2 linked regions of the Ovis aries genome follow. The protein of the gene in region 1 interacts with the protein of each later gene in a biochemical or structural test. Links are inferred from orthologs where the notes say so. Each region holds a gene or a part of one and is shown in the gene's direction. Other genes may lie near its edges.

The links.
Region 2: the proteins of BCL2L1 (region 1) and BMF interact in a test that uses a peptide from one of them, tested with the Homo sapiens proteins (2 studies listed by BioGRID). The link is inferred for Ovis aries from reciprocal best matches to the Homo sapiens genes BCL2L1 and BMF.

The regions. Positions count from the first base shown.
Region 1 is NC_056066.1:60,937,187-60,940,932, reverse strand, and holds the start of BCL2L1 (bcl-2-like protein 1), read left to right. Parts: upstream 1-927; 5' UTR 928-967; coding exon 968-1,531; intron 1,532-3,746. UniProt on the Homo sapiens protein: Potent inhibitor of cell death. Inhibits activation of caspases. Appears to regulate cell death by blocking the voltage-dependent anion channel (VDAC) by binding to it and preventing the release of the caspase activator, CYC1, from the mitochondrial membrane.
Region 2 is NC_056060.1:33,965,352-33,968,997, reverse strand, and holds part of BMF (bcl-2-modifying factor), read left to right. Parts: coding exon 1-112; intron 113-1,617; coding exon 1,618-1,778; intron 1,779-1,977; coding exon of another isoform or gene 1,978-2,040; exon of another isoform or gene 2,041-2,136; intron 2,137-3,646. UniProt on the Homo sapiens protein: May play a role in apoptosis. Isoform 1 seems to be the main initiator.

The DNA.
Region 1 (3,746 bases):
CAGAAAGGCCCGGGGATGGCCTTTCCAAACTCAGACCGCAGATCCAAGGCAGTGTTCCCCTCCCTCTGTTTCTCATCGAAACCTTGAGCCCCATCGAGAAGTCCCTTCAAGGTTTCTTCGGAAGCCTCACCCAGGGCTGATACTGAAATAGAAAAAAAAAAAAAAAAAAACTAAAGCTCACACCAGCCACCTCCGAGAGAGTTCTCCTAGCTCCCAGTAGGAGGCGGAGAGCCAAGGGGCGTGCAAGAGCGAGGGGGCTGGGCTCCCGGGTGGCAGGAGGCCGCGGCAGCGGCCGCCCTCGATCGGGGCGATGGAGGAGGAAGCAAGCGAGGGGGCCGGTTCTTGAGCTTCGTAATTCCTGTGTCGCCTCCTGAGCTCTCAGTTCGCCGGGTCGCATGATCCCTCCAGCCGGAGCTGCTTTTTTTGCCAGCCGCCGCCGCGAGGCCGGTTGACTTACCGGCATCCCCGCTGCCACCTCCTCTCCCACCTATGATACAAAAGATCTTCCGGGGGCTGCACCTGCCTGCCGTCGCCTGAGACGGATTTGAATGTAGGTGGTGAGGGTTTATGGGGGTGGGGGGCAGACTGCCCATGGGGGTGACTTTTCGAGGAAGACATTTCAGAGAAAAGGGGGTGGCTGGGATAAAAGGGGAGGAAAAAAAGGCCGGTGTGATGATTCAGAGCCCACTGGTGCTTTCAAATTGACTTCATCGAAGTACCTGGGAAGCTAGACCCATATCTTCATAAGAGCGGCAGAGAACCCAGTTCAAGTACCTGGAGTGGGGAATGGGATATTGTAGGTAAATGGCTTGCATATTCATTTTTTCCCCCCTGAAGCTCTTTCTTTCCCTTCAGAACCTTGTCTTGCCTTTGGATCTTCGAAGAGAACCACTAAGCAGAGACCAGACCCAGTGAGTGAGCAGGTGTTTTGGACAATGGACTGGTGGAGCCCATCCTTATTATAAAAATGTCTCAGAGCAACCGGGAGCTGGTGGTTGACTTTCTCTCTTACAAGCTTTCCCAGAAAGGATACAGCTGGAGTCAGTTTAGTGATGTGGAAGAGAACAGAACTGAGGCCCCAGAAGGGACAGAATCAGATATGGAAACCCCCAGTGCCATCAATGGCAACCCATCTTGGCACCTGGCGGATAGCCCTGCGGTGAATGGAGCCACCGGCCACAGCAGAAGCTTGGATGCCCGGGAAGTGATCCCCATGGCAGCGGTGAAGCAAGCCCTGAGGGAGGCAGGCGATGAGTTTGAACTGAGGTACCGACGGGCATTCAGCGACCTGACGTCCCAGCTCCACATCACCCCAGGGACAGCATATCAGAGCTTTGAACAGGTAGTGAATGAACTCTTCCGGGACGGGGTGAACTGGGGTCGCATTGTGGCCTTTTTCTCCTTCGGTGGGGCACTGTGCGTGGAAAGCGTAGACAAGGAGATGCAGGTATTGGTGAGTCGGATCGCAACTTGGATGGCTACTTACCTGAATGACCACCTAGAGCCTTGGATCCAGGAGAACGGCGGCTGGGTAAGAACCACGCCCCTTATGTATTCCTTTTCCTTGGCTTCTGGTCAAATCCCCAACAACCTTTCCCCTGTGTCTGTTGTGCTGGGTGATTATTATTGTTTGTTAAGGAGACATAACTGGCCTCTTTGTATCACAGAGGTTAACTTCTGAAATACAGATGACCTAGTTCTGTGAGGACCAGACATCTTCATTCTGGTCTTCCTCGTGACCCTACTCTGTCATACTTGTGTTCCAGTTTCTCTGCAGAAGATAACATAGCCTGTGTGTTCATTTGGCCCCAAACCTTTGAGAATGCAAAGGTAACAGGTTACCCCTCACCCTGACATAATGGCTCACAACGTTAAGGGGTGATGAGTGGAATGCCTGGAGAAGATAGTGAATATCAGTGACCCACCAGCCCCTTCAGTCTTACTCCCTTGAGCTGTCAATCCTGTCCTGGGCTTCCCTCCTCCAAATCAGGTTCCCCTTATTTCAGAGTTTGCATGGCCTGGCTTTGCATCCCTCTGGATGGCTGAGGATTGTCTGATTTTAGGTTGTAAGCTGCGCCAATGGGCCAGTTGTGTTTGTGCTGTGCCCCATATTTATTGGCTCTAAAGTATGCGACTTTTCTGTGTGGTTGGCCAGTTTGCGGAGCGCTTGCTGTCAGCCCAGGGACTTTGCACCTCACTGCCTGGGTTGGTTGGGGAGCTCCAGCTGTTATGCTTGTCACTTTTCTGCCATGGCCCTGGGGCCTCTTCACTGAGCACTGTTTGCTGGCAATGCAAGAACCTGATCTTTGGGGCTCCTTGGGACATTGAGATTCAGTGACAGACTTCAGAAACAAACTGACACAGATGTGAGTCCCAGCCCTGTCACTTAACTAGGTGTGTGACCTTGGACAGGCCAGTTTACCTTGAGCCTCAGGTTCTTCCACTAAAAAAATGTGGCCAACCCTCTTGCCTTGCAGTCCTTGTAAATCTTGGAGCTGATGTGAGCATAGTGACAGGAAGTTTGCTCTAGTAGTTACTGTCAGATCCAGGTACACCTTCTGAAACTGAGTCGTGCCTCATTCCTTTGCCAGGGAAGAGAATTCCCTTGCCCTGATATCACCAAGTCAGGATGAGCTGGTGTGGAGGGATTCTTTACCTGTGGTCACTGTCAGCAGCTTTTGCTCTCTTGCAGTGAACTCAGTCATATCTCCTCGCTTATCTCCCTGCCTCAGGGAGGTGTAGGGCTTAAGAGAGGTATTCATTCTGTCCTTCAGAAAATTGAGCAGGCTGTGGAAAATAAGTCATCTATTGAAGGAGCTGAGGTGGAAAGGGCCACGCACCATGGACTCAGGAATGTTAAGAATGCAATTATCCAGAGGCTGGGCCTAGGGTGTGGCAGCCACTTCAGTTTACCACTGAGCAAGGGACCTCCAGGTACACCACCCCCTGTCTTATTTCCCATTTCTTTGCAACTTCATCAACTCTTCCCACTGCCAGTTCTTATAAAGAGCAGAGTAGAGGTCAGATGACCGGGGTGGGGCTGGGAAGGTAAAGGTGGAGGGCTTTCTTTGGCTCAGACTGACCCAACTTGAAAGCCTTTCAGTAAATGAACTCCCTGGGGGAATAAATGATTAAATAGTTCCTGTTGGTTTGTGTGATGACCTCTCTTTTTCCCTCCTGCTTTGATTTTCTTTAGGGGCAAATATTTGTTTAACTTACTACAGGAGGGACAGGATTCCAGCGTTTCTGACACACCCTCTGAGGCCTAAGTAGAGACTTGGGCCATTTGCCCCTCACTGTTATCTCTGGCTGGTGGTCCTAATTCCATGTGGGTTGTGGCCAACTGTTAACAAAAGGCAACATGGGAGAGGTTCCTGGCCTGCCAGCCAGTTGTCTAAGAGGGCCACCTGGACCAGAGAGTTGTTAGTCACCCAGTGTTGCGTGTGGAAAGAGGTCTTTGACACAGCAACACTGGGCAAGATCATTAGATCACCACTGGATTGACATTCCATCTTCTGCTGTCTCTTTGCCCAACAGCATACCATGTGTTACTTCCTCTTGGTGGACAGAGGGGATGTGTGCAGAAGAGCCAGTTATATCAGAACCGTTTCTGGGCACGTGTTCTTCCCGAGGCCAGGAGATAGAGAACATGTGACACTGGGATCCTTTGGGTAGAAGGTGCCGCCCACTTCCTCTCGGGGACCATTCTGTTTGAGCTGCACACTGGCTGCTGCAGTGGCATCTCA
Region 2 (3,646 bases), on another chromosome or scaffold:
CGACCCACCAGCCAGGAAGACAAGGCTACCCAGACTCTCAGCCCAGCTTCCCCGAGCCAGGGTGTCATGCTGCCTTGTGGGGTGACTGAGGAGCCCCAGCGACTCTTTTATGGTGAGTGCTCTTAGCCTTAGGACTCCTCCCTTAGAGATGGGGGAAAAGAGGGGACTTTCCCTCCCCAAACCTGCTCTTTGCTATTTCCTTCCCCAAATTGAGCAGCAGGGGCTATTGATCCCTCAACTCTTCACCTGCTGACTCTCTGCTCATATACTGCTTCTTGTCTGTGCTCCTCAGGCCACAAGCAGGACAGATTGCCTTGCCATTCTTTTCTGCTCATTTGTCCCTTTCTGGAGGGATCCTTGGGTCCATGGTATCTCCTTGGGTTGGAAGAAGGGTACCTGGGTCTTGGCTTTTACATATTATGGCCTGTTGACTGGCCCAGGCTTTTGTGTCGTAATAGTGATGTACCTTCCGTAAAGTGGCTAGTGTTGCCCTGGAGAAGGCTGGGGGATCTGTGACTCGCTGTTGACACTGAAGGGGAAAACCCAGCTTGTTCTGGGAGAGAAGTTTCCTGGAGGCAGAAGGTTCCCCGCCCCAGTTGTCACTTGGGACTTTCTGTGTTTGGAAGGGGAACTGGAGAAAGAGGTTGGGCCTGCCTAGGCTCATTGCCAACAAAGGGGCTGTTTCCAAGGCTCAGTCAGATAAGACCCTTTCATTTGTGGGCTTCAGTGGTTGGTTTTATTAGCAATTTGCCCTCCTCTGGCAAAAGGGCAAGGTTAGATAGCCAGTGTTCTTCATTTAGCACAAAGCTTATGGAGGGAAGGGTGGTTCAGAGGCTATCTTGCTGGGTCCAATGGAGCGGATTGAGGAGACGCTGCAGTTATTCCCAGAAGGAGCTGCACTGTAGGACAATTCAGGCAAAGTTCTGGCAGGAATCTGAGAAGATGGATAAGGCAGGCGGGCAGGAAGGAGGGAAAGACGGGAGCAAGCGGGCGCCCCTAGCGGCAGCTCGGTGACCAGCACTTGGTCAGTGAGGAGAGCAGGTCTAGATGTCTGGCCTGGGGCTGGCTGCAGAGAGGAACTTGGCTACTCTGTGGTTCAGAGGAGTCTTCTCTCCCTATGTTTCTGTGCCACTGCCCAGAGCTTCAGGGCCTGAAACCAGCCTTTCTCTGCTACACCAAAAAGTGAGGTTACTTTCTGATTTTCATTCTCTGTCCCTTGCTTTGCTCAACTGAGGATCTCTGGAGAGCTGCCTCCAATGTTTTTCTAGAGAAGAGCTTCAGCCTGCTACTACTGTATGAATAATGAATAATAAATTGTGGTCAAGCGTAGCTGTGTAAATAAGGACAGAAGGTTGGCAAGTTCAGCCACACTTATTACCTTTGCCATGGCGCTGCCAGTGAAGGGAGGAAAGCCTGGCATCAGCTTTCATACTCTTGGTCAGCAGGCAAGTCAGGCTGTCCACATTTGGCAGAGTGCCCTGAGAAAGACAGGCTCAGTTCCTCTCCTTCCCATACTAGAGTCTACCCTTGACCCCGGGTCTTGACCAGGGGTGGCAGGCATGGGGAAGATGGGGCAGTGGTGGAGCTTGCTGAGATGTGGGCCCTCTGTCTTTGCAGGCAATGCTGGCTACCGGCTCCCCCTTCCTGCCAGTTTCCCTGCAGGCTTGCCCCTTGGTGACCAACCCCCTGAAGGGCAGTGGCAACATCGAGCAGAGATACAGATTGCCCGAAAACTCCAGTGCATTGCAGACCAGTTCCATCGGCTTCATATGCAGCAAGTAGGCACTGGGGCTTGGTGGGGGGAGGTGGTGTGCATCTGCTGGGTCTGTGGGGCTGGGGCCTGCCTCAGCAACTCTGTCTCTGCCAGGACCCACGTTACCGTGATTCTCTTGAACTGGAAATCGAGAATGGGCCTGGCTGGATGAGTGCTTTTGCTCTCACCTATGAGATCCAAGTTGTTTATCTGCCTGCTTTCAGCTCAGGCCCCTGGGAAATGCTCCGATCTCTTCTGGAGAATGGCATAGCTTCTTGCAGCCTTGATTGACACACTGTATCTTATTGAGTTCATCAGTGGGAGATGGTCCCTTGCAGACCTAAGGGGAAGATTTTCATGGTGCTGAGGAAAACTGGACAGTCGGAGGTACCTGGCTGTGGTGCAGTGGGAAATGGGTAACCGAGGCCTGGACGGGTCTGAGTTGGGAAAAGTGGTGGAACCGGTTGTAACCCGACACTTTCCAGCTGGGGAGGCCGCTCCTCATTGTCTCTGTCTGGAAACCAGGGCCAGGACTCTGGAGACTGTGTACCTCACAGTCTCTCCAGACCAGCGACCGGGTGCTCAGCGGGCAGCCTGGCACCAGCCCGCCAGGGCGGAGCATCGCGTGTCACTGGAGCTTGTGGCAGAGCCCATCAACAAAGGCGGCGGCTGGCGGGCTCGTGTGGAGGAGCCCTCTGTGCCTTGGGCTGGAGGCTGCCTGGCTCTGCAGCGGCAGTCTGGCCCAGCCCCTGGGCACTTAACTCTTCCTCCCTGGGCTGACTTTCTGGATGGCTGCCAAGGCGGGGAGAGGAGCCTGAGGCTGGATCCCTGCTAGTACAACCACCACTGAAGCAAAGTCATGCCACCTGGAAATGAACACATTCCCTGCCTCTGAGACAGTGTCCTTGCCTAGTCGGCTGTGTGTGTGTGTATATGCGTGTCTATATATGACTGTATATTAGGAAATCAAGAGAATAATTAATCCACCACGATTGGGCAGACCCTGAGGTTAGGTGGGGAAATTCAGGTGACCGGAGGAGAGCTATTGATAATAGGTTTGGTTTGAGGACCAAAATATGGCCAGCACCTGGCGGGAGGTGGGGTGGGGAGACAGAAATTGAGTTTAAGTTTCCTGAGATCCAGACAGAAGGGGTTATTCTCTGCCAAGGGGTTCTGAGGGAAATGTGGGGTTAGACCTGGTCCTGGTGGGTCCCCCAGTCCCTCAGGAAGAGAGGGTGGCCCTATGCTTAGATAAGGCAGCCTGGCTGTCTCCTCTGGCTCCAAGTTCCAGCCCCTATTCCCTCCTTTGATAGCTCTGTGGAAACTTGGCTTAGGGTTTTCCCTTCAGTCCACTCTGGTTCTTGATTTCTGCCTCTTGGCCTTCTTCCTACCCATTCATTTTACGCTGGTTGTGTAGGCCTGTGGTTGGCCTGAGCTCGCAGCTCCTAGCCCCAGTGCTGTAGCTGATGGAGAACACAGTGGCTCTGGGTCTCCTGGACTCAGCTGGGGGACTACCTGGAAGGCAGTTTTCTGCATTCGCATTAGACCTGATCTCTCTCGACAGCTGTTTCCCAGAATGTTCCACCATCCACTGGTGAGCCCTTCTAGGCTTGGGAGCAGGCTAGGAGGCCTCCTCTGCCCAGTCGAGCCCTGGCACAGGACTAGAACTCAGCCCAGGGCCATTTCTTCCCAACTCAGTCCCTCACAGGAGAAGCTGGCCCTGATCCCAAGGTCTGACCCTGCCCTTTGCTGTTTGGCATCACTGACCCCAGTGCAGAGCTGTCTCTTCGAGGGCCTGGTTCAGCTTGGGAGCAGGAGGGGCAGAGCCACAGAGTGGGAGGAGAACTAGAGGAGAGTCTCCCCAGCTCTGCACCTCCTCCGCTGCTGGCTCCT